4 linked regions of the Schizosaccharomyces pombe genome follow. The gene in region 2 interacts genetically with the main gene of each other region. Each region holds a gene or a part of one and is shown on either strand. Other genes may lie near its edges. The genes, in order: ani1, nur1, mms19 and swd3.

The links.
Region 1: mutations in nur1 (region 2) and ani1 together harm fitness more than expected from each alone (negative genetic interaction), as found in Schizosaccharomyces pombe (2 studies listed by BioGRID).
Region 3: mutations in nur1 (region 2) and mms19 together harm fitness more than expected from each alone (negative genetic interaction), as found in Schizosaccharomyces pombe (2 studies listed by BioGRID).
Region 4: mutations in nur1 (region 2) and swd3 together harm fitness more than expected from each alone (negative genetic interaction), as found in Schizosaccharomyces pombe (2 studies listed by BioGRID).

What each region holds. Positions count from the first base shown.
Region 1 is NC_003423.3:4,061,889-4,066,460, reverse strand, and holds ani1 (FKBP-type peptidyl-prolyl cis-trans isomerase), read right to left. Parts: upstream 1,942-4,572; 5' UTR 1,905-1,941; coding exon 819-1,904; 3' UTR 501-818; downstream 1-500. Other genes in the region: sporulation specific PIL domain protein Meu14, read right to left, coding at 1-44, 86-167; deoxycytidyl transferase Rev1, read left to right, coding at 2,303-4,572. UniProt on the Schizosaccharomyces pombe protein: PPIase that acts as a histone chaperone. Histone proline isomerase that increases the rate of cis-trans isomerization at prolines on the histone H3 N-terminal tail. Proline isomerization influences H3 methylation thereby regulating gene expression.
Region 2 is NC_003421.2:447,697-455,500, forward strand, and holds nur1 (protein nur1), read right to left. Parts: upstream 4,068-7,804; 5' UTR 3,720-4,067; coding exon 2,769-3,719; 3' UTR 2,513-2,768; downstream 1-2,512. Other genes in the region: SPOM_SPCC4G3.12C (ubiquitin-protein ligase E3), read left to right, coding at 1-2,033; DNA repair protein Rhp42, read left to right, coding at 4,673-6,733; GTPase-activating protein Gyp3, read left to right, coding at 7,607-7,804. UniProt on the Schizosaccharomyces pombe protein: Has a role in meiosis.
Region 3 is NC_003424.3:3,854,026-3,864,139, forward strand, and holds mms19 (TFIIH regulator Mms19 ), read left to right. Parts: upstream 1-4,192; 5' UTR 4,193-4,397; coding exon 4,398-4,866; exon of another isoform or gene 4,867-4,909; coding exon 4,910-5,052; exon of another isoform or gene 5,053-5,098; coding exon 5,099-5,202; exon of another isoform or gene 5,203-5,247; coding exon 5,248-7,539; exon of another isoform or gene 7,540-7,605; coding exon 7,606-7,654; 3' UTR 7,655-7,693; downstream 7,694-10,114. Other genes in the region: protein Rng8, read right to left, coding at 1-720, 775-835; protein Sil1, read right to left, coding at 7,694-8,710; signal peptidase subunit Spc2, read right to left, coding at 8,976-9,479. UniProt on the Schizosaccharomyces pombe protein: Key component of the cytosolic iron-sulfur protein assembly (CIA) machinery that mediates the incorporation of iron-sulfur cluster into apoproteins specifically involved in DNA metabolism and genomic integrity.
Region 4 is NC_003423.3:546,462-550,729, forward strand, and holds swd3 (Set1C complex WD repeat protein Swd3), read left to right. Parts: upstream 1-1,902; 5' UTR 1,903-2,208; coding exon 2,209-3,351; 3' UTR 3,352-3,768; downstream 3,769-4,268. Other genes in the region: translocon alpha subunit Sec61, read right to left, coding at 1-3, 129-161, 218-330, 384-451, 496-505; SPOM_SPBC354.04 (uncharacterized protein), read left to right, coding at 3,835-4,268. UniProt on the Schizosaccharomyces pombe protein: The Set1 complex specifically methylates 'Lys-4' of histone H3.

The sequences.
Region 1 (4,572 bases), on a different chromosome or scaffold from region 2:
GTCATCTGCATGAGATAGTTCTTTTAACTTGCTGATCGAAAATTCTATGTCATTAACTTATTTATCACACCAATTTATATCTTACTATTTTTATTTAAACCCTTCACGAGACCGTTTTCTCTTAAAGAGCCTTTTCTCTGCATTTTCAAGTTGCTTGATTTGGGCATGTTGATTGTTTACGTTTCAGAAAAATATATGCCCGCCTTAAGATTTGCCTGTAAACAGAAGCACAATTTTCAAATAAACAATATAGAAAAAAGACAAATAATAAAAATAATTCTTTAAATTCTAAAACTGCTTGTTTTTTTTTAAGTTGATTATTACGATAATTAATTTTAAGAATTTCGTAAACAAACAGCTGTTTGTAGACTTATTTAGCGATAATCAGATAATGGCTCTTTTATTATCAATATGTTTTTTTTTACTTTTAATAGAGTTTTTCGGAATGTTCTCGTTTATATTTACTCAAACTCAAAATTCCATAATTTAAACATCCTTAACTAGTATCGATCAAGGAAGCGCTATTCTCTTTTCTCTTAATGCTCATACACATACAAACAGCTCTTTCTAAAAAATTGTATATTGATTATATCTCCTTTATCACCCAACAATCCAAATCATCCAAAAGTCCTATATCCAAAGTGTTTGTAACACTTAACTAAAAAAAAATTTCCTAACTCAAATACAAAATGATACCCTGATTTTTTTTGAAACCTAAGAAAAAGATAGGCGATAAAAAGAGTTAATAGAATACATAGTTTAATCCGCGATCTTCTTAAACACGGGAGTTAAAGTATGTTCATCTTCAACATGAAAATTTAGTGAACGCGAACAAGCTTGACTTCAAAAACTAAGGTAGAATTCTTGGGAATTCCTGGAATGCTCTGGTTGCCGTAAGCCATGGGAGCAGGAATTGTAATCTTACGCTCACCGCCTTCTTGCATTCCAGCAACGCCGACGTCCCACCCGCGAATAACCTCACCACGACCAAGGATAAAAGCAAAGGGTTTACCTTTAGTGTTTTTGTCAAAAACCTTTCCATTTTCGAGCTTCCCAATATATCTCATTTCAACTTTTTTCCCATTGGTAGCAGACGCACCGCTCCCAGTTTTAACATCAGTTACAACCACGCCTCCTTTTAAAGTACGAGTCTTGGGACTAGAAGGTGCATTAGAAGAAGCTTGTTGCTTTTCTTTCTTAGCAGCGGGACCAGTAGGTCCTTGTTCAAGTTTTTCGGCAAATGCAACCTTCTTTTCCTTAACAGGGGTACCCTCAACCTTTTGCTTCTTGGTATTGTTTTTCTTAGGAGAAGCAGCCTCTTCTTGCTCGGATTCATCCTTAGTACGTTTTTTTTTAACCTGTGCCTTTTTAGCAGGAGCTGAATCCAATTCATCCTCCTCAGATGCTGAATTATCTTCCGACTCAGATTCCTCTTCACTTTCCTCATCACCGCTGACAGTCTCGACAAGATCCTCCTCAGTAGGAGACAAATCGTAATCCTCGTCAGATTCTTCCTCTTCCTCATCTTCTTCGTCAACCAAAAAGTTACCAGACAAGTGGATGGTTGCATCGCCAGATGCACTGAAGAAGACTTCGTCGCCAGGAGTAATGGTCAAATTTAAAGGCTGTTGGTATAAGGAACCAGGCTTCAAAGTACATAAAACAAATTCACGCTGGCTTTCTTCCAGAAGCTCTTGCATTTGTTCGTCAAGTTCTTCGTCATCTTCATCTTCAACGGGGATACGGGGACGAACCTTCACCAATAAAGTAGTTGGTTTATTAGACTTTTCGCCGGCATCAATGGATGCCATAGTCAAATGAATAGATGCATCTGTAGATTCCTCCACAGCGGGAACATCTTTTCCCTTTACCGAAAGACTATAAACAGCAATTGGAAGAGACATGACTTATTCTTGCCTAAGAGGTGAGGTGGTAGAGGATGTAAAAAATTTTGATACATAAACCGTTGTGTATTCCATTAAGTAAGGGTAGTGCGTATTACCGCGATTTGCAAATTATACTCAAAATTAATTAAATTTGGACGAGCGTGCATCACAACAAACGCGTAGTAATTATTTTTGATATTTCGTTGTTTTTTACTTTGAAATAGTTTGGCTTCACGAGTTTTGGGATAAGGTTAAATAATGAAAGAAAAAAGCTCTTGCAGTTAGTTTTTCTTTATAAACATTGTTTGTTTATTAATTACACTTTTTCCGCTTAAGTGGCTACATTATTATTTGTATTATTTTCCTTTCAGAAACATATTAATACTTATATTTACTGAAAGTGAGAAGCGCGCTGGATGGCTTTTAATCAAAGGAAGCGTCGACGCCCAGTAGGGATTGCAGACTTTGACGAAGCAAACGATGAGGCATACGAAAGTGTTGGGTTCCACGACTATGCAGATTATTTTTCCCGGAAACAAAGAAAGCTTCAAAATCAAAATGCCGCTCTATACAAAAGTATTGATGAAGATTCTAAATCTGATCTCTTTCATGGACTTGCAATAGCGATTAATGGATATACAAAGCCGTCTTATACCGAATTACGGCAAATGATAGTTTCAAATGGAGGTACTTTTATACAATATGTTGATGGAAAAACAAGCATATCATATTTGGTGTGTTCATTTCTCACTCCTTCCAAAGCTCGCCAATGGAAGCATCAGAAAGTGGTTAAACCAGAATGGATAGTGGATTGCATCAAACAGAAGAAAATTCTTCCGTGGATAAATTATCGTACCTTTCAAGCTTCATCGGCTCAAGCTACCCTTTCTTTTGTCGCCTCTAAACCTAGCCAACCCGAAGGTAACTTAGAAGATATTCAAACAAGCTCGCAGGAAGAAGAACATGATAATGAAAAAGATAAAACAAAAGAGAGTAAAGCAAAGGGATTTTTAGATGATTTGAGTGGATTATCAGCGTCTTCACTGCACAACTATCAATTGTTAAAAAATCCCAATGTCCGAAATTCAACCACTCAAAATCAAGATTTTCTTGAGAATTTCTTTAGCTCCTCTCGTTTACATCACTTAAGTACTTGGAAAGCTGATTTTAAAAATGAAATCCAAGCAATGACTACTGCTTCTGAACCTGTTCGTCCAATTATGAAAGATAAATCAAAAAAATCTCGTTTCCTTCTTCATGTTGATTTTGATTGCTTTTTTGCTTCCGTTTCAACACGCTTTTCTCATGAGCTACGACTGAAGCCCGTTGCTGTTGCTCATGGTATAAAAAATTCCGAAATAGCTAGTTGTAATTATGAGGCTCGGAAGTTTGGCATAAAAAATGGTATGTACGTTGGAACAGCTAAAAACCTGTGTCCTTCATTACGGGTTGTTGATTATGATTTTGGAGCATACGAATCTGTTTCTAGAGAATTTTACACTATCCTTGTTAATACACTTCACGACTATATTAAGGTTATAAGTATAGACGAGGCTCTTCTAGATATAACTTCTAGTGTTTCATCTTTTCAAGATTGCTTTGAGATTGCCGAGTCTATCCGCTCGCAGGTTCGCGAGAAAACCAATTGCGAAGTTAGCGTTGGTATTGGCCCAAATGTTCTCTTAGCAAGACTTGCACTTAGGAAGGCGAAGCCTCACAACGTTTATTCTTTGTCAATAGAAAATGTTTTTGATGTATTGAGTCCTTTGTCTGTTCAAGATTTACCAGGGGTGGGCTCTTCACAAGCGCAGAAACTTTTTAATTTGTACGGTGTGCGTACTATTGGGCAGCTGCAAAGAATTGAAAAATTCAATCTTCAAGAGACTTTTGGGGTAAATTACGGTCTGCATTTATACAATATTTCCAGAGGAATTGATACCGATATAATCAATAATGAAACCCCACGGAGGTCCATATCCGTAGATGTTAATTGGGGTGTTCGTTTCGTTTTTCAAGAGGATGGGATAGATTTCTTAAAACGGTTGCTTCATGAGTTGCTTTCCAGAATGGGTAAATGCCAAGTGCTTTTGCATCAAATTCAGCTTCGGATTTTGAAAAGGGCTGATGGAGCCCCTTTCAGTCCACCAAAGTACCTTGGAGCTGGGGAAGTCACTTCATTTACAAAATCTTCAACTTTTACTTCTGCTACTAATTCGTTTGACTTAATATGGAAGAAGGTGACCTCAATGTATAAAACAATTAATGTCGATCCAGGAGATGTACGTGGTATAGGATTACAAGCTCTCAAAATTATTAAAGACAACTCTAAAATTAGAAAAGATTACCGCTCTATACAGAGCATAACTTCTCGAAATAAAGTGTCGCTAAAAGGTGCATCTGTTGACATATCAAGTAAAGATAAAGAAATAATTAGTCAAAAGAAGCAGCTGTCTCCAAAACTTATTCCATCAACACCGTATGATCTGCCGTCATCTTCTCAAATCAGTTCCAGTGCTCTAGCTCAATTACCACCTTCGATGCAGTCTGATATACAGCAGCAATTGAGGTTGCAAAAGCGAAGTATTACGGAATATCCAAGCCAGTTAGATCCTTTGTTTATGGTTGAATTACCTACTCCTATAAGAAATGAAGTAAACGATAATCATGAGATTGCCATGAACAAACG
Region 2 (7,804 bases):
ACTCCTCTCGTTTGGATAGGAATTCGTCACGCCCTTTTACCTCCTCCTTCCATTCTGCTCCATTTTTAAGTTCTTACGGCTCATCAAATGACCCTTCTCAAGAACGTGTAAACGAATATTCACTTCCCTCAAATTCAAATTCAACTTACACGACACCTCTTCAATCAATTAACAACGAACATCCCCTTCCCACTGTTCTGGAAAATAATGCTCTTTTAAATAACTCCGGTAACTCCCCTTCTTTAATAAACCATTTGCGTCAATATCTTAATCAAGATTTTAGTCGTCTACATCAATCCCCTTCACCCATCCCTAATTCTAATGATAATGACTCTCAAACCCGCCGGTCGTCTTGGTCATCTATCGCTTCTGCATTTAATGACTTTCCTGAAGAATTTCCGAATGCCAGCAATCCTGAAGCGCATTCGAATTTTACACCTCTTAACGGTAATGATGAAAGCACCGTCAATATGCTTAGCCGGTTACTTTCTGCTGCTGCCATTGAAACAGTTGCTTCAATTATGAATAGCGAAGCTAGGAATATGGACTCCCAGAATATGGCAAACGGTGAACCATCTCGCTTTCGTTCTGTTGATGGTTCATTTGAACAGTTCTTAACCGACCTTCGTAGTGGAAATTTGACTAATGTTCTTCAAAACTCTTCTCAAAATGGAAATGATCAAATTTCTTCTGACCCTGAGTCTAATTCCTCAGACCTTCAATACTTAAGGATGTTCCGTTTTCCGTCGTTTCATCAGTCTCACAATCAACCTGCCTCTAATAACGAAGCTTCAGATACAAATGGACCGGCTTTGGTGCCTGTCCTTATCGTTTGTATGCGTAGCATTTCCGAGACTTCCGAGGATCATGCGCCAACTATGACTCAAGAAAATCAAAGCCTTCATAACGAGAGTAGAGAAAACATATCCATTAACGATATAACCGAAAGAATGGCTCAGTCCACTGAATTTTCCACTGATCTTCCTCCTACATTCGAGAGAAGCAATTCAACTTTTTCACATCCTGAACCTACAAGAAGTGACTTTAGCCAGGCTTTTACGCCGGTATCCGATTTCCCTGCAAATCTTTTTCCTGGTTCCAGAAATTTGTTTCCAACGTCCAACTCGGGTAATCAATCTACTTCTTCGTTTTCGCGCTACAATCAACCTACTGTTTCCGTGGATTTAAGGAATTCAAGTATACTAAGAAGAGCTCAAGAACCTGTAAATGGTTCAACTGGAGAAAATCACATTGGAGATGATTACATTTCTTCATTATTGGATAGTTCAAATTCCAATTCACAACGACCGTTTTCAACAGTGCCTTCTGAATCAAATGTTTTTTCGAGGAACGCCTCCGGCAATTTCTCGATGTCACAAACTCATCAGCCGACTACCGATAATACCTCCTCATTTTCCACACAGCCTGGAAGGTTATCTACAGGACTCCATCATTTTCCGTCTGATCGAGATTTACTGTCTAATCAAACTAGACGTTCTAGCTTAGCACGGAGCTATAGATTTGAGGAACAACTTTCTGTTGATGATAATACTAGCGACTTTAGTACGTTGGCTTCCAATGGGGCTGCCGACATGGTTACTCAAACGCATTCAGAGGGAACTTTCTCTAATAGCACCCATGGTGATTGGCTTATCTATGTGTTTGGTGGTCTGTTTCCAGAACATCATCCAGTTTTGTCTACAGTTAGCTTGTTTAGCGATAATCCCATGTATGAAGACTTGTTGGCTCTTACTACATACCTGGGTCCAGCGAAGAAACCAGTCGCTTCTCATGAAGATGTGAAACGATCGGGCGGACTTTTTGCATATTTCGATGATGCTTCACTTTCTAGTGCTGATTCTTGTCTAATATGTTTAGAAACTTATACTAACGGTGACATATGTCGCAAGTTGCAGGCTTGTAAACATTTTTTCCATCAGGCCTGCATCGATCAGTGGCTTACCACTGGTAATAATTCCTGCCCGTTATGTCGGGCTCATGGGGTTACGACACAAGCTGAAGAGGAAAATTAATTTTGACTTGAAATTAAAGCTGGCCTTATTCTATGTTTGTTCACTCTCATTTATTTTCCTTCATCCGTCAAATTTGTTGAATAATTGTTCGCACTATTTGCTTGTGAATGAAATCTACATAATAGCTCTTCCCATTTTTATGGCTGCTATAACCTAAAACTGCTTGACCTTGTTCAACTATCTCTTTGGGACTTTCTCATTTTTCTCATTTATGACCTTATTGATAAAATTTTTGTAATTTTCTACTTGCTGCACGGAAACGAATTGTTTTGTTGTGCGTCTTTTGTTAGAAATAACAATTGCCTTTTTTACAAAGCTGAGTTTTTTCTAAAAATCATTTTAGTTAATCGGTTTGCACGTTTAATATAATTTATTTTCCTTTTAGAAATTTTGCTTCGATTTTTACATATTAGTTTAGATACAAAATTGATGCACATTATCACTTTTAAATATATTTTCTAACAAACAAGAGTATTCATATTTATAATCATGTAAGGATTTTAATAAGAGATCATATTGAATAAGCTTAAATTATAAGGATTTGGTTCTAAGTCGATCATCGAAAGTTTTTAGAATGACGGTGTTTGATACCCTAATTAGTCTTCATGAATACAATTATTTCAGGTCTGAATTGAGTTATGACTTAAAACTTTTCGAAAATAGGAATTAACAGAAACAACAATGATAAATGGAAATGCAGTGGGTCATTCAAAAACCATGTAATTCAGACAAATATTAAAAGCGAGAACTACCATCACTAAGATGTGGAAATCTCTTAAATGGTGAGCTGCTGTCACGACTAATTCCGCTGTCATGAAGATGATGAACACTTCTTCTTTGAAGCGCTATAGGGGTACGGGGTGTTGAAGTGAGATGATCATGTGAAGAACTTCGGTGTTCAAGGAAGGTATCTATGGGTTTTCGGGGTGTGAAATATTCAATAGATGCGGTTGTGGGACCACGAGTAGTATTAATGGCAACATCTCGTTTAACTACCGAAAGTCGAGGTTCTACAAATTTCTTATCATACTCAAAGAATACCTGGCGATGAAGATATTGTTGATCTTTCAGCAGTAAGGAAAATTTATTGACAAAATGCAATGTTGTAAACGAAAGGAGAAAAGTCAACAAAGTCACGCGTAGAGAAGTGCTATAAAACCATAAAATCAAGGCATGAGCAGGAGAAAATAAGCAAGCAAAATTTAGTAAAAATTGATTTGGGCTCCATACTTTCAATTCAAAAACTTGTTCATCGCCATCATCATTATTTGAGTGCTGGAAAACTGGTTTTACATTGGGAGTAGAAGTCGTCGTGCGTTTGTCTTGAGGCAAAGTTCTATACAGCTTATTTTGAAATCGAGTGCTAAATATGAAATTGAGAAAGCTGATGAAAAGAAAACAAATTGAGAGAAATGATAGGAAGGCACGAAACCAGGACCTAGAGGTGTTGATGGACTGCTTATCCACAAAGAGCTGGTTGCGTTGAACTGGTACATGCGTACTTTTTATATAAATGCGCATTAAGAGAAAAATAAAATTGACAGCCAAGCTAAAGGGAATCGAATAACGATCTGATACTTTATCCCACTCTACACTGTCAAATTGTTCGCAAACATAGATAAAGTAATCGATCGGAAGATTGATTATTTTAGAAGTCAGCGATGTACGACGGATTAACTTTCCCATTGAAAAGATTTTTAAGCAATGTTTTGAAATTCAGGTGTACTTTTTGAGTATAAAACAACGCCGAATTAGAAATGAAACAAACCATGGACCTGAAAGGTAAATTCCGATATTCGTATACTAATGAACGAAATTAGGGCACTTCTCCGTTTCAGGATTCAAACCTTACGTATTAATTAGAGTAGCAAAGGCTTTTTAATTAGCTAGGTCGAGCTTGCTATTATCGACTTCAATTGCAACAATGAAGGATAAAAAGTTTTTTATTAAGATAACTTTTTAAATCCGGTACGTAAACAAGTGTGCAATAAAAAAGAAAAAAAAAAGAATTTGCTTTCGCAGGTTGATGTTCCTAAGTATTGGTGTTATTGATGGTTTCAACTTTACCACTACTACTGCTGTGCAAAATCAGTCGTCGATTTAAAATTCCTATTTTTAGGAAATATAAGCTCGATCAGTGACATAAATTTAAACAGTTTCGTTTGACGTTTTACTAATTAATGAATTATTTCCTTAAAATTTAACGGCTGAAGTTTTTTTTGACTTATGTTTATTGTCTCTTATTAATAGTGATGCATGTGGTTTAACTTTTTATTTAATAATTTATTTTCATGTTATGTTTCAGATTTAAATTTTTTAAATCTTTATTTCACGGTTGAAATCAAAAGTAGTTAATATAGCTCATAATATTCAGCAAACAAACTACTCGCCATTCTTGCGCAGTTGATACTGACCTCTTTTTCAAAGGACTTTTTAATAATCATCATCACAGCCATTGTTAGAATTTTGCTTTCTTGTTGGAGAGATTGCTTGAAATAATAATTCTTTAACTAAGAATATATCAGATGTGGCTGTGATTACAACTTTTTATTCAATTTATCGTTATTGATATTATTTGAACCAGCGGTTAAACAAGCATTATCCTAAAGTTGATTCAATTCACATAAACTCTTTGCTCAATGCCACCCAAACGCAAAGCATCCAAGAACTCTGTTCGCGGAAGGAAACGTAGGACACGGACCAATAACTTACCTCTTAATCCTGAAGTGAAAGAGGAAACTGTTGTATCTTCAACTCACCGTCAAACTCGTAGCCAGTCGAAAAAGCCAAGTTTGTCTTCCTCAGCGGAACCTCCTTCTGAGAGTTTAGATGACAATATATCAGCGTTAAACTCACTTCAAAGGAGCGCATCTTCATCCGAAAAAGGTTCCGATGAAGACAATGAGAAGTTAGGCAGCTCAGAAGATGACGAGTTTGACGACGATTTTGACACTTGGGAACAAGTTGATCTTTCTCCTAATAAACAAGAAGATAAAAAAGATTTACACATAGTCACACAGCATATCACTCCTCAACTTACAAAAGAATCGAAGAAAGGCTCTTCTAGTGCAATGGATAAAAGCATTCGATTATCTATTCACATTATGCACTTTACTTGCTTGTTGTACCATGGGTCAGTAAGGAATCGCTGGTTAATGAATTCCTTACTTCTTGATGGGCTGCGCGATTTGCTTGTCGAAAAGCAACCGTCCGTAGTGGAGGCGTGGGTTTGTAGTAGCCAGACGCACGAGGATTTGTTAAAATTGTTAAATGGGCTTCGGATGTGGTGGAATAAATCTTTTAAAATTGAGAGTCATGGGCTTCGGAAGTTGGGGTATCGTACTTTGAAACAAGGATTTGATATCGGCTTTTCGCCAGAAATATTTCATAACTTTCATGAATACCAAGCATCCTTACTTTCGCTAAAAGGAAGCCGGGATTTGGCGGCACAGGGATTTACTGCTCTCTGTCGATCTCTGAATCTGAAAGCAAGACTTATATTTTCTCTTCAACCTTTGACATTTTCTACTGCTTCCTATGATGATTGGTCTCCACATATCCTCCCTGAAGAAACTAGTACATCTATAGATGACGACCTCCGCTATCCTATTTTTTGGACGGAAATCTATGATCAAAGTGAGAAGAAATGGATTGCGGTAGATGCGGTTGTCTTGAATGGGGTATATACCAACGATATGACTTGGTTTGAACCCAAAGGAGCGTATGCAGAGTCAAAACATCTACGAATGGGTATTGTTGCTGCATATGATAACGATTTATACGCAAAAGATGTAACTTTGAGGTATACAGATTACCAATCAAGTAGGCTTAAGAAAATTCGACACGTTTCTTTTGCAGATAAGTATTTTGATTTTTATAAGGCTATTTTTGGGCAACTAGCAAAGCGCAATAAAGATGCAGAGGATATATATGAAGAGAAAGAACTGGAAAGTAAAGTGCCCATTCGCGAACCTAAAAGCTTTGCAGATTTTAAGAATCATCCTGAATTTGTATTGATTAGACATCTTAGAAGAGAAGAAGCATTGCTTCCTAACGCCAAGCCTGTGAAGACAGCAACCTTTGGTAACGGTAAGAAAGCTACCTCTGAGGAAGTGTATCTCCGAAAAGATGTGGTCATATGCAAAACGCCTGAAAATTATCACAAAGAAGGACGAGTAATTAAGGAAGGAGAACAACCTCGAAAAATGGTGAAGGCGAGAGCCGTCACAATTAGCAGGAAGCGTGAACACGAATTTCGGGTTGCTGAAACAAATGAACCAGTGCTTCAGGGTCTATATTCTTCCGATCAAACTGAGCTATATGTTCCGCCTCCAATCAAAGATGGTATTATTCCTAAGAACGGTTATGGTAATATGGATTGTTTTGTTGAGAGCATGATCCCCAAGGGCGCAGCACATTTGCCATATCGAGGAATTGCTAAAATTGCCAAGAAACTCAACATTGATTATGCGGATGCAGTTACAGGGTTTGAATTTCGTAAACATCGTGCGATTCCAGTTACTACAGGTATAATTGTACCTGAAGAGTCGGCTCAAATGGTTTACGAAGAATTTCTTGAGTGTGAAAAAATCAGAATAGAGAAGCAGCAGATGAAAGAGAGAAAAATTATTTATGGGCAGTGGAAACACTTGCTAAATGCACTTCGTATTCGAAAGCGTATTGAAGAACAATATGCTTAATTCCTGGCTTTCGTCGGACACTTTAGGGTTTGTATAACCGGATGTGTGTTTTTTGAACAATGAGGATACTTAATTCCAAACGTTAGACTCATTTATTTATTTATTGTTTTGCAAAATTGACATTTGGTTATTTGTGAAGTATTTTATTTATTTAAAGGAAAAAGAGGAAGCAAACTACCAAATTATCTAATATTTTATTGATTTAAAAAACCCCAGATTTTTATAGCACTATTTTTCATATTGGTGGATCACACTCTATTTTTCGCTTTATAGATCACCCAATTGCATTACCTTGCCAATCGTACTACAAATTTTTTGTTTGAAGGAACAACGACTTAATAAAATAAAATAAAAATAAAAATAAAAATTTTCATTACACGGTAATATCCAAGTTGCTTAAAAATAGCTAAGTCGTAAATTTTATTAAAAAATTAGATATATTCATATAATATTAATACTTTTTAGCATTTTTTACGAAAAAGATGTAGTAAATATAGTTTAGAAGGAATCTTATCATGAGTGTTGCTAAGTACCTCGGTAACCTCGATATTATGGTATCATGGTAGGCCCATTTAACACCACCACGCTTTGTTGCAAAAGCGCGTACTATGCATATATTCTTGGCGTTTACCAACCACGCATTTTAGTCATATAGAAAGTGGAGCATAAGAAATCTGGTTATTGAAAGGCAATTATTCATTCAATTACTCAAAAATCTCCCAGCTGGGTAGTAATGGTACTGGAAAGGAATTTTTATGAAGAAAGCATTGTTGAAGAACTAAGAGATTTTTTGAAAGAAAGCCAGAAGCCCGAAGCACCAGCGTCGCATGTGTGATAGTCAGGGAATTCTCGACATAAGAAGAGAATTTCAAAATGGCTGGCATCACTGAACATTCGACGATTATGAATGATGCAAATTTTAAAGAGGAGAATGCTCACCTGTCAGATGCATCAATCCACTTTGGAAGTAGTGAACAGGATAAAACACCTTCAGATTATGAATTAGATGATGTTTTAGATCTTTACAATGATACTACTGAAGACGATGCCGATGATGCAGACGATGTTAAT
Region 3 (10,114 bases), on a different chromosome or scaffold from region 2:
CATCCTTTTCAGCCTTCTCGAGTGCATGCATAATTTTCTCCTTTTCACTATTGCTATTGAACATTGAATCTTTTAGTGGTTTATCAGCAATCTTAGCATCAGACACCTGTTTTGTCAAAGTCCTTTCCACTTCTTCAAATGTGTCTTGTAATGTCCTTATTTCAGCATCCAACTGAGGGTCATGCTTCAAGCATTCATTCCTGAGCTCTTCATACTCTTCTTCTAAAGCTTCTTTTTGCTTTTCGTACTGTTCGGTCTCAGAATTCGCCCGCTCCGTTTCAGCTTCCAATCTTTCAATCTCTAGCTTTAATTGCTGCTGCTCTTCCAATAGGTCGGTTATTTGTCTTTCGAATTCTTCTTGGATTTTTTGTTCTTCTTTAGCTGCCCGCTGTTTCCGATTTACCATACTGGAAACAGACGCCTTTTGCATTTTAAGAGAATCATAAACATTTAGCAAGTTATTCTTCGCTGACTCCAGCTCCTTCCTTTTCTTTCGCTCTTGCATAAGTAAAATAGAAACCTTGTCTCCTTCTTTCTTTAGTCTGTCGATTTCGTTTTGCATAGTAGCAATCAATTGACCAGAAGACGGTTTTCTAGATCCTGTTTTTGCATGGTCATGAGGTACTCCTCTACCAATATACGTTGCCTCAATATGATCTGTCAATTTTTCTAAATCATTTGCCATATCTTGGAGCGTCGAAACTTCTTCCTTTCTATTTTCTGGGATCGCTATATTAGCGTTTGCTTGAACTATTATTTACTTATTTCTCTTACCAATATTATCATGAACTTGCTCGATTTCATGTTCTAATTTTTCGGATCCCTCTAAACCCATTTTTTACATTAAATAAAAGAAAGAGAAATAAATATGAATTAGACTTGCTTCATTGCAAAGGATAAGTTGCATCCTTATTTTTCATTCATTGTCCTAAAGCATTCATTTATTGCACGGTAAGTCTCAGTTGGACTCGATAAACGGTTTAAGAGGGTGTATCAATCATTTAGATGAATGCCAAGATTTGAAGAAAATAGTATAATTATGGAATTATGGAACAAATGATTATTATTCTACATTATGTGTATAGACACAAAAATTTACTTTTAACAAGTCTTTCTCTTTAGTTTACATCCCACTCTTAGAAGACCATGGTTTATTTTAATAATAAAATATGCCATTCTATCATCGATGAAAATTGAGATTTGTATAATAAATAGTTAAATTTTAGTGCGCCAAAAATTAAGGGCTCATTTATGCTTTATACAGACTTAGTTTTTATAAACGTTTGCTATAAGTAACAGCATTACATAAATAGCAGAGGGCTAAATGCTGGCTAGATAAATATGAATGTAAAGTATGTTAAGAAATATTGAAAGATTACTCTCATTTCCAATGCAGGATTAAATGAAGTATATGAACAGATTTTGCATATATACCAAAAAACTCCAATAAACAGAGTGGTGATTAGCCACAGATACATTTTTTCTGTCTAGGTATGAACAGAACTTTATTTTATCAAAAGATGGTGCATTAAACATTTAGCTTTTATTTCTCCTTGGCTTTCCAATGAAATCCCACTGCGACCCAGGAAAAACAAGCTTTCTAGGAAGTGTTATCTGTAGCGGAAGGCTCTTTCGTTTCCTCTGATTTCACAGACTCCAAAAACGACGGTCGCCAACGATTCAAAAGCTTTGCGGCGGAAGCTTTAACATCTACATTCTCTTTCCACATCGTCTCAAGAATATCAAGGCATTTTTCACGTACAGGTTAGTCGAAACATTATTAAATACTGAAAAGTCATGAAACCGAGCTTCGTCTTATCGGGATCAAGACATACAAATTTAATTTTGTCAACTATAGCATCGGTGAGTTCTGGCAATTCAGACATAAATATCATAAAAACTTTATCTTTTGCCTCTAAGTATGGTAAAATGCTGTCTATTACTTTAAGGGCCCATTTTTCATATTGTGGACCTTCCCACTTAACATCCTCATATTCATGACAATCCGGATTTTCAAGCATTAGTCGATCATTATACCATTCCTCGGATAACCAGTTCAATATTAAATTTGTACTGGAACGCCAGTTAGATGCAACGTAAGTAAAAAGCTGCCCTCGAACAAATGAAGACAAAGTGAAAGAAGCATCTCCAGATTCCTCACCAGACGTTACAGGCTGATAATTCAATAAGCCTCGCGTACAAAGTCGTGGTAAGAGAATTGCCCAGTGACGCTTATCCCATACCGTATTATCCACATTTTCCAACGTTAAATTTTGAAGGTTAGAAGAAGAAACTATGCTTCTTTCAAATTGAGGAGCATAATCAAATAATCTGGATAAGGCACCGTGAAAGTATTCTAGAATAGCCATCGGGGACAGCGAATCTGGAGTGGGTAATTCAAACGCATCAGTAACGACATTGGAGGGAGCACTTCCCTCTAGTCGAGCTGCTTCACGTTCTACACTAGCATTGATAGTCTGAACATCTACCTCAGGCGGTTCATAATCCTCGTCCTCGTCTTCATCAACTTGTTGATCAAGACCAAGGGATTCAGGCTCAGAGAGAGAGCGCACTCTCTCTCTCAACATATTAATTTGCTGATGAAAGTAGTTTTTGTCTATCTTAAGAAGAGAAGTAAGTACAATTTCAGTAGCCACTTCAACCGGAATTGAAGTTACATCAAAATTTGCAAGAGGATTTATAGCAGTTTGTGAAGCAAATATGCTGATTAAGGGATTATTTTGCAAACCATCGTGAGAGCTAAGTTGGGGTTGCATTCTTTCTACAAGACTTTGTACAGCAGAAGACTTAACACGCTTAGAGGCAGCACTAATATTTCCCTCATATTGCCGTTTCTTCAAACTTTCATCGACTTTGGTATGATAAATTTGTCCGGAAAGATAAGCGTGAATTTTTTCGACGGAAGAAGAAGATGCACCTGTACTCTTAGCTAAATGAAGTAAAATAAGTTTTAGATTTTTTTCAATACACCGTATAGCTAACTTGCTTTCGTTCGACAGCTCAATTTCATCTTTTGGATTCGGAAGATGAAATTCTAACAAGCTTCCTATGATTTTTGGTGCTAGTTCCTTCCGTCGCTTCACCAAAACCGGTAAGATATTCAAAACGCTAGTAATGTAAAGGACATTCAAAGAATCCGAGAAAAGGATGGAAAATATTTTTTCAATTAAGTCATTTGCTTCTATTCTGAGGATATTTGAATTGATAAAAGGATGATGTGTGGGAACCTTAGAAAGAGACACGTCCGATTTAGTTACAAGACGGGGATCTCGAATCCCAGGCACTTGCGTTAAAATTACACAAGAAATAAATTTAATACAAGAAATTAAAAGAGGCTTGTTCCCTTTGTCAAAGTCATTAATGATTTCGTTTTTTAGCTTCGTTAAAGTGTCCCAGGTAGATGAATCGTTAGGTGAAGTACAACAGTGCAGAAATACTAGTGGGTAGATTGTGCAAGAACAAGATATAACGTCTTTTTTAACTTCTTCATTATCTACTGCGTACAGAGAAACAATTGTATCTAGACAAGTTACAGCTAAATCCAATTTCTGCTCAAATTTAACATTTTTGCTCGAAAATCCAAACCAGAGGAAATTTGCCATCCATTTTTTATACCTTATATCAGAATAGTTTGCCACAGAAAGAATGTTTCTCACGATTTCTGGAAAAAGGCTTTGATCAGTTTTAACAATATCTCGAGCCTGGTTTAAACGAGTAAGATGTTCGTCTGTCTCCGAAACTTCCATACCAGGACTAACAGAGAATTTAAGATGATAATTATATTAAATACTTATATGCTTATTGATCAATTTCTCAAGTAAATGTTAAAACTTTGCATCCTCTTTTTACTTTGCTGTCGGTTCAAATTTTGGTAAGAGAGGGAATACATAGCGCAGTGGTTTAAGGATCGTTAATATGTAGTGACTATATATAACGATGGAATAAAGGTTTTTGTGTATGATTGTAAAATCTTGAAGTAGAGATTTGCTAAAAAGAAACAAATTTTTAAAAAAAGAAAATAATATCCGATCTTTCTTCTAATTTCTTTAATTCATGGATTTAAGCAATTTAATTTACACAAATTCTTATCAGATTATCTAAATACTTTAATTAGTTTAACTTCGCTTCGGTAAAGAAAGCATACATAGCAAATGACATTTTGCAATTTGCCATTGTTAACCACATTTTCTGAGAGACGTTTCAACGATCTACTGAGGAAGAGTGCCGTCTACCTACTAGCTAGAAGAAAGTCAGCTTCGAAAAAGAGGACAAGGTTTCTAATCTCTGCTTCTCAATTTTTGAAATTCTGTTTTTTCTTATAGTGTTTATTGTATAGAAAATTGTTAGCATAATAGTACATATTAAATTTGAGGAAGATGAGCTCGAATTTAGTGGCTTTATATTTATTTTCTATTGATAGAAGTCAGGATGAGGCAAACGACGTTGTAGATCGAATTGTCGAAGAAATTGTCACTGACAGAATGGGGATTGTCGATTTGGTTACTTCAATTGGAGAGTATTTAACTGACAACAATATCTCTGTTAGAGCAAAAGCAGTTTTATTACTGTCACAAACTTTAGGTGAGCTTCCTAAAGATAGACTTCCTGCGAAACATGTATCTGTACTTCTTCAGTTTTACTTGAGTCGTTTGGATGATGAAGTTACAATGAAGGAGAATGCGTTAGGTATTGGAGCTCTTCTAAACATGCAAAACTTCCCTGCTCAAAAGATTGTGGATGTTTGTAAGGCTCTCTTCAGTTCCACTGACATGCCAAAATATGCTCAAGCAACTCGTTTAAACATTTTAAAAGTATTTGAAACCATTATAGATAATTATCTTTTCTGTAAGGATCTTTTTGGAGAGTCATCAATTAACTTAGTTCTCAGTCATCTCTTCACAAACTCGCGATGCTTTCTTCTCTGGAATTTGTTCAACTTTTGCTGGTGAGAAAGACCCTCGTAATCTTATGCTGGTCTTTTCTATGCTTAAAAAAATACTTTCTACATTCCCCATTGACGGATTTGAACAGGTATGGATCTCATTGTTAATCGCCTAATGAAATTACTTACATGTAGCAATTCTTTGATATCACTTATTGTTATTTCCCGATCACTTTCCGTGCTCCGCCTGATGCCACCAATTTGGCTATTACTAGCGACGATCTTAAAATAGCTCTCCGGTAAGGCATCATGACATGTGAACTATTGCTAACCGTCCTTTGTAGAGAAACCTTGGTTGCTAACGACGCGTTTTCAAAATTACTTCTTCCTGCTTTATTTGAAAGGCTGAAGGCTTCAACTGTTCGCATAAAAATCGATGCATTAAACATTTATATAGAAGCTTGCAAAACTTGGCGCGTGGGTGCTTATTTATGGTCTGCTAAAGACTTTTGGGAATCTATTAAGCAAGAAATACTAAATTCGACAGATGCTGAACTTCAAAATTTGGCGCTTGGTGCACTCAATACTTTAGCTAGTAAATTTTATAAAGAGGAAGGGTTTTCATCTTCGTTCACAGAGTTTGTGGATATGATTTTGATCCAATTATCACAGCGTTTACTCGAAGATGTTAATGTTAAATCTTGCGGATCTTGTGCAGCTGTATTTGCTTCCTTGGCTTCTATCTCTGTGGAAACATTCAATTATTGTTCATGCAATTTTTTACCCAGTGTTCTCGATCTACCAATGGTAAATGAACCATTGGAGAAACAAAAAGGGATGCTAGTTTTTTTGGAATACGTCTATAAATGTTTGGTACTTTTATACGGAAAGTGGAGAAGCAAAAACCAGGCTGATATTGACAACCCGCTACTTGTTTACAAAGACAAGCAACTTAGTTTTGTATCAGGCTCCTTGATGGGAACAGCCAAAGATGAAACTGAAATACGCATGTTGGCTTTAAAGGTTATTTTTTTAATGGCTTCGATCAAGAACTTCCTAACAGAGAGTGAATTAACCATGGTACTTCAATTTTTGGATGACATAGCATTTGACTTTTCCGATCCTATTAAGAAAAAGGCAACAGAATGTTTGAAGGATTTAGGGTTACTAAAGCCCGACTTTTTACTTTTGACTTCATTTCCTTTCGCATTTTCAAAATTAACTGATGATGTTACTGCTAAGTCATCTTCTGAAGAAACTTTTAAGCAATATTTATCGGTACTAGTCTCAATATCTGAAGAAAGGAGTTTGTTTAAGGCCCTTGTCATCAGACTTGTTGAGATGTTGAAAGATCAATTTAAATCCAAGGAAATGAGTGTTGATCTTGTCGAATCAATTGTTCAAAGTTTATCCGTTGCCTTTAAGGAAAGAAATGATCGAAATGAACAAGAGATTCCATTCTTTTTTGAAGAACTACTGAAGCAACTTTTTACCCTTTGTTTCGCTAATTGCGAGTCAATGAATGTGAGATGCCTTATTTATGTATCACAGACAATAAATGAGATAGTGAGAGTAAACCATTTTGAATTTCAAGAAAAGTTTGTTGGTCAATTATGGAAATTATATATGGAGAATTCCAATTCCGACTTAATTGAAACTGAAGGTTGTGAAAAAGCTGCAGAAAGATTTACGCTTGCAGCATCTTTAAGTGATCAGAAATTTTTAAATTTAGTGGTATTATTACAGGGTGGTCTTAATGGATTGAGTAAAAAATTACATTTTATCGAAAAGTTGAATATTGAGTTGTTGAATTTACTCATAAATGTTGTTTTTGTTACGGAAAGTCCTGGCGTTAAAATTAGCGCTTTACGTCTCATATCCTCGCTTATTAACAAATGTGAAAAAGACGAAGATATATCAAGTTTTATATCTTCGAAGGGAGTCACGTCTTTGTGGGATAAAGTTTATACTGGAACTCCAAAGGAATCTGAAGCTGCACTCGATGTGCTGGCGTGGGTTGACAAAGCTTTGGTCTCTAGAAAGCATAGCGAGGGCATTCCTTTGGCTTTTAAATTATTGGATACTTTGAATTTACAAAATGTCGGAGATTCTTCGGTCAAGGCACTTTCAATAATTATCAAAGACGATCCTGCGTTGTCCAAGGAGAATTCATATGTCGAAAAGCTGTTATACAAACAACGTTTTTACGCTAGTGTTAGTCCTAAGATTTTAGAACACATTTCAACTGCTACTGGAGGAGAAAAGTCTTTGTATTTAATGCTTCTTTCTAATGTGATAGGAAATGTGCCAAAAGAAATTGTAATTCCAGATATGCCATCTATCCTTCCACTTCTACTTCAATGTCTTTCACTGTCTGATATTAGTGTTAAACTTTCGACGTTGAACGTTATACATACTTCGGTTAAAGAATTGACTTCATTATTGACGGAATATCTTGATACTTTAATTCCTTCGCTTTTGGCAATCCCTAAGGATATGAATAATCCAACTGTTGTTCGTCTTTTAGCCCTTAAGTGTCTTGGAAGTCTGCCAGAGTTTACTCCTACCACGAATTTACAACTATTTAGAGATAAAGTAATTCGTGGACTCATACCATGCTTGGATGATCCTAAAAGGTAAGAACCATTCATTTTTAGTGAAAAGAATAACTGTTAACTACAAAATGCTAATGAATAATATAGGGTTGTAAGGACTGAAGCAAGTCGAACTCGTCATAAGTGGTATATATAAAGAGAGATTTTGATAAGTCATTTTTGAAAAATAAAAACGTTAAATATTGTATTTTTTAGGCCAAGGAAGAGATAAAGCTTCTTTTATAATTAAATTAAATTCAGTAGCAAGATCTGGATCTTGATAAATTAATTTATTTTTGTACGCCAAATTTTTATCGTTTAACCATTCATAAAAGTTAACTTCGGGACAACTCTCACTAACACTTTGAATTGTTGATACGGTGTTAAGTAGAACCTCGAGCGTTGAAATTGAGCGTAAATGCCAATTATTCATCAAGTACTTTTGAAAGATGCTACACCAAGTCGAAAATACCCACTCTATTGGGATAACTTTAGAAGCTTTGCTAAAATTGACATTTTCCAACGAACGAGCAATATTTTCAAAGATGATGGACAACCTACTTAGCAGTTTCTCCTGAAAAGCAGAAGGAATATCAATATGGCTGTTTCTCGACCAAAAATCATACAACTGAAGAAGAATAGCCGATCCTAAATCTTTACTAATGAAAGCCTCAGATAAAGGAAAAGATTGGACAGATTTACTTAATAGGAAAAGTTTCTTCAGTAATGTAACTGGGTGGTTTTCCTGCCGTAAAGTGTTCACAATTTTTGGCATAATATTCATTTCTAAAGCCTTTTTCTGAGCTATGAAATTATTGCTAAGCGCTGATGCCAAAACAACAGACGACATTGAACGAATCGTATTTGGATAGTCTTTCCCATCCATCAAAACAAAAAGTTGATCGCACAGAGGCTGTTCAAGTACATCCTGACCAAATTTTATATCATGAGCCAAATCACGCATTGTTTCTAAAGACGACAACACAATGCTTGGGTCTGAAGTATCAGGATTTAAAATTACAGAAGATGACTGATCGAACAACTGTCTATCGTAAAGTGAAACAGATGAATCTGAGCTTACAGTCCTCACATTCAAAAAAAGGTAACATATTGCAAGAAATAGATTCGACAAAGAGAATGTTAAAGTAAAAAAAATTCTGTAAATTTGAGTATTTCTTTTCTTTTTAGACGAGTTTCCCAGAATCGAAAACATTGAACCGATTAATCTCCAATTTTTTCACTCCTGTTAGAGAGTGGTTTATGGTAGGATAGATTTCAAGAAAAAAAAATCCATAGCATGATTAGGCAATTGCCGCTGGTAAATGGAAAACGTAGCAATAAAATTCATGTTAAAAAATAAGAATACGATACGGACGTTGTGGCAGGCATGGAAGCCTTCTAACGAAAATGTAGTAATTGAGTATTTCGCTTTTTGGCAACAACTCAAATTGAGAATTGATTAAAAAAATTGAGCTCAATCAGTTTTCAATTTGAGACAAGTACTTTGAAATTTCCGCCTCAAAAGTTGCACTTGATATTTGGCCATCTTCTTCAAAAATGTGAGCAACAGGAACCGACCATTCAAGTTGAACAGCATTTCTGTTTTTGAGTACGGTAAATTTAGTAGTGATTAGAGGCTTATTTTTCAAAGGTAAAAAGGTATCCGCAGAAATTTTGATGTGTCTTTCTTTTTTCGTAGCAACATAAACAGTACTACCCTTGACTACAGAAGACCAAAATGTGAGCAAGCAGGAAGCTAGGAAATATAAAGGTAAAAGATACTTTAAGTAAGATTTTAAAACACCAAAACCATAAACATACTCAATGCCAAATGCGAGGCCGGCGGGTATAATGCAAGCTATTGCGATCAGCAAACGAATATCTTCAAATACAAAGGATTGCTTATAACCATTTTTGTTAAAATGGTTTGTTAATTCTTTATCAAATTTAGATTTGAAATCTGAAACGTTATATTTTGGCATTTTTACTATTAGCTTAATTATGGTAGAGGAAGCAAGGCTGTAGTTACTGATGATCAGATATGCGGTTTCGTTGATACGATGGCATGATGATTTTTTAAAATTAAGTAACCTAAAAGATGTTTTAATATTTAATATAAATGCCTGAGAGCAAAAACATGAACTCCGCTACTGGAACGAAAGCAAAACAGTCGATTACTAAGTACTTTATAATACTATCATGCTCTTTCAAATACAACGAGCCATAAATTTGAAATAATAGCCAAATAAAAAATATATATGGATTCTCAATAGAAATTGGCGGAAGGGTTTCATAACAAATTAATTTGGTACAAAATATCATGCTCATTTCCTTGTCTCGATAATAATATCAGAATTGCAATCGCAATGACTGTTGAAAAGGATTATGAAATGGAAAATGTTGTTTGAATGTAGCAGTACTTGGCGTTTAGTAAAAAAATAGAGGAGTACAATATTGATATTTCCTTTCGCAAAACCTGTTTGTTCCAATAGTGATATCCCTCGATGAACATATTCCTCGCTTTTATTTATTCAATTTTCACTCGCTAATTGTAAGTTATTATGCAAATGAAGATAAGGAACCCGGTACAAACCGTTTAACAAGCAATTGCTATTTT
Region 4 (4,268 bases), on a different chromosome or scaffold from region 2:
GTTCTTATAATGGTTAGTAAATGCATAAACACATTTTTTAAAAAATGAAAAATAAGGAAGTTAAAGAGTAATCTCTTGTCAGTGATGGTTACAATACCTTCACTCATCCATATTTCTTAAAAACATACCCTCGATTGGCAGCTAAAATCATACGTAGCCAGCTGAAAAAGTCATTAGCTTTAGAAAATTAAAATTTAAACAAAAATAATAGTCTTACAGCAAAGGATCCGAAGAGTCTGAAGAGACAATTCCATATAATGGTACTTGAGACATAACCAAAAAAATCAACAAGGTGACTCCAGTCCATAACATTTTTTGCTTGAAAGGGACCTAGATTCGATATTAGCTTTCGATGTCTCTTATGAGATACATATGCTACATACCTTTCGTTCGGGTGCAGCAATCTCCGGTAAGAATGGCGCGAAAGGCTTTACAAGGTCCAGAAATCGTACTGTATAGTGTTAGAAATCAATAAGAAATAAAGCATGGTCTTACAATCACTCATATTGTATAATTTAATTAGATTTCTGCCCAACTAAACTTGCTGGTTCTTGTTGACAGTGAAGTATCATACTGAGGTTTTGGTGGTGAATTAAATTAAGGCAGCAGAACGATGGAGATAACTATTCACTTAAATGCGATAACAAGTAAATATTTCGTTTCATTATATAGTTAATAAATACGCTATAATACCAGTATAAACATTTGTTGAAGCTGTAATGAATGCCTGAATTGCCCATTTAACAAGCGTTAGAGAAGTTTTTTAAGCCGATTAAAATTCAAAATAATAACTGCTGAAATGATTTTACTTCACATAGGGATTAAAAGGAGATGCGATTTCCATTACGACCCAGGCAACAAGGTTGACTAATAAATCAAGATCATTAATTTAATATGGAATAAGAAGGGAACTAAAGGCTATGATGAAAGGCTTAATATGTGTACCGATCTAAGATGCCAACTGTTTCACCAAAAAATGAAAACACAATATTGTTTTACCAATTTGTAATTGGGAGATTGGATCAAATAAATTGATTACCAATTCATGACCTCAACAAGTAATTCTAGTTGTTCATAAGTGTTAGCCTCTTTCTTGCAATTACTATCCACGTGATTTAGATGTTTCTGTGGAACAACAGCTATCTGGATAAAAAAACTTTGGGACAAACGAGAGTGAAACATTTTTAACTTAAATTATTTGCATCACTCTGAAAGTTATGAGTTGACTCATTCGAAGTCAGTTGAGAGATGAATCACAGACACTACTTATTGAGAACTTTAAGCAATGGAAAACTTGATATCGAAGGAGCTATCAAAGTCAATATTAATTGAATGAGGACATTATGCAAAGAACGTATTTTGGTTCATTATAAGGAAACCTCTTTTTAGTATCTTTCAAACAAGCAGGAGCTTCATGAATGCAAGGCCGGAGAGAAATTGGACTAGCCTACTCACAGACTAGAAGATTACAAAACTTCAAAGGATATGTCTCAGTACGAAGATCGTACCCTTAGCGCAAGAGTATTGAACCCTCGTCAAATTAGTGAGCAATATCAGAAAAAAGTTTTTGTATTAATTCCTTGTAAACTTTACGTTTCAGTAAAAGGAGCCTAGTCGTTCTTCTTCATTCCCTAAGCTTTTTCATAACTTCAATGCGTGAATTATTGTACAATTTGTAGTAAACTTCCATTTATTAAGTCTTTGAACTAAATGGCTTAAAAATGACAATATTCCTGAATATCCTTTGCAGAGTAGTTTTCGACGTGAATTGCGAGGAAAATGAACCTGTAAACTTTATTGAAGACGAGTCAAATTATTGAGTTATTTAATATAAGTCCAAAGAAAAGCGTTTTTTAAATAGTCATTATTGTGGTATGTTGCTAGTTGAATGTTATACACTTCGTTGTCCACACCAGTTACTGCTTGTGCATACAATAAAGCTGGATGCTTAAAAAATTGACTGGCATCATTGTAATTTTATAATCTACATATGCAAAAAGCCCATGAACTTTTTTTCTTGTACATAGACTCTAGAAAGAGGAAATAAATTGATCGATTTTACTATCAGACAAAGGCGTTTGTTTATGATTGTTGAGATCATTCAATAAACCTTTTAATACTTCCTGATACGATTTTTGTCTTTAGTCCATTTTTACGAGAAGTACAAACAATCGGTCTGATAATTTTTCACATATCGTATATTAGAAGATGGATTCCACAGCTCAACAATTTCCTTTGAACCACGACCTGCAAGTACAAAAAGACCAGAAAGGTGTTGTAGAGGAAGATGAGGAGCAAATACATAAGCGCATTCGCAATTATGAATCACATTCAGGATTCTCTGAATATTGTACTCTTTTCGGTCATGAGAAAAGTGTTACATGTGTCAGCGTTTCCCCTAACAAACGATGGATCGCTACCTCTTCATCCGATGGAACTATAAAGATTTGGAGCGCACTTACGTTTCGACTTGAATGTACACTTTTCGGCCACTACCGAGGAATATCTCAAGTAAAATGGGCAACTGGTAGTAAGTATCTAGCTAGCGCTTCTGACGATAAGACCATAAGGATTTGGGATTTTGAAAAACGGTGCAGTGTGAGATGTTTAAAAGGTCATACAAATTACGTTTCATCAATTGACTTTAATCCATTGGGCACGCTTTTGGTGTCAGGATCATGGGATGAGACTGTCCGTATATGGAATCTTCAAGATGGAACTTGCCTTAGGATGCTACCTGCACATTCAGAACCTATTATATCTGTTTCTATATCAGCTGACGGAACTTTATGTGCGACTGCTAGTTATGATGGAATGGCACGAATTTGGGATGTTCTCAGTGGCCAGTGTTTAAAAACATTAGTTGAACCCATTAATGTTCCTTTGTCTAATCTCCAGTTTACAGAAAATCGAAAATATCTGCTTGTAAGTAATCTTAACTCACAGATCCGTCTTTGGGATTATCGCCGAAACCGTGTGGTACGAATATTTGATAGCCACGTGAATACAAGATATTCTATGTCTTGGGATTGCTATTCTTCTAAAAATATTCCTAAAAATACTGAAGCTTTACCCAATAATGACTCTTCCTACCCTGATGATGCAGAATCTTTCATGCACGATGCTTATCTTTTAATTCCTAGTGAAGATGGAACAATCCAAATTACAGATCCGAGTACAAAAATAATTATTGACGATTCAATTAGGCATTCCGATGATCCAGAAACATCACTTTTAAATGTAACCAGTTTAGGTCCTTTCATAATCACATCAGGAACTGATCCTTATGTACGAGTTTGGGCTCCTTCTCTTCTATTGTCGAAGCACGAGAAAGATGGCTTTTCACCTTAACCTGAATTGTTGACAAATAATGTATAAAGTTTAAAGAAACTACTTGGAATTACGATGAAGATAATGATGCTAAAGGTTTACGTGCGAAAACAAGCTCCTTACTTCCAATCCAAAGGCTAGTTGGCCTATGAAAACTTAAGTGGATCGATACATAGAAGATAAAATTAATTTATACAGTCTTCGATTATTCTTTACAGAAGATTTCTCGAAGAACGAATGTCGGCCAAGTTGATATCCTGAAATTGATGGTTTTTCTAATTTTTCTCGTTTATTAAACCAGTTATATTCATTTTGTTACTAATTTTCATCATCTAGTTTAATTCGACAGATTTTAAAGGGAGATAAATTTTTTACTTTTTTTTCCTAATATTTATTCCTTTACCACTACTGATATTCTAATAAGGTAAAACTTTTTTCGAATTAAATCATTTGGCCGAGTCAAACTTAAAATAATTGAGAAAAAAACGTATTACCTGATTTTCAATGAGTGAAAACCCAGCACATAAGGATTTGGACAGTTTGCAGGTTGACGAGAAAGCAAAAAGTTGGATTGCTGAAAAAGTTGAAGAGGAGCTCCGAAGGTTAGAGTCAGTAGGTGCTAAAGCGATCCCCTTAGATGTTAAGAATTACAGTGTTATGTTAGATGAAGACACGGATACTGTGGTAAACAGAATTGAGTTGATGACTAGCTTCGACTTTGATCATGTTCAACAAATTCTTCTATCCGCCGTACAGCCCTATCCTTATGATAAAAACTTAATGTTTGTTTATTTGGTGATATTAACGCCTCTTCCACACCCTATGTTAATTCCATATTTGTTTGCACCCAAGGTCGTAGGCAAGAATCTACTACCCCGTGCTGACGGATTGGTAGAGAATACCTTGAAAAGATGGACATTCATTAATGATAAGCTCAA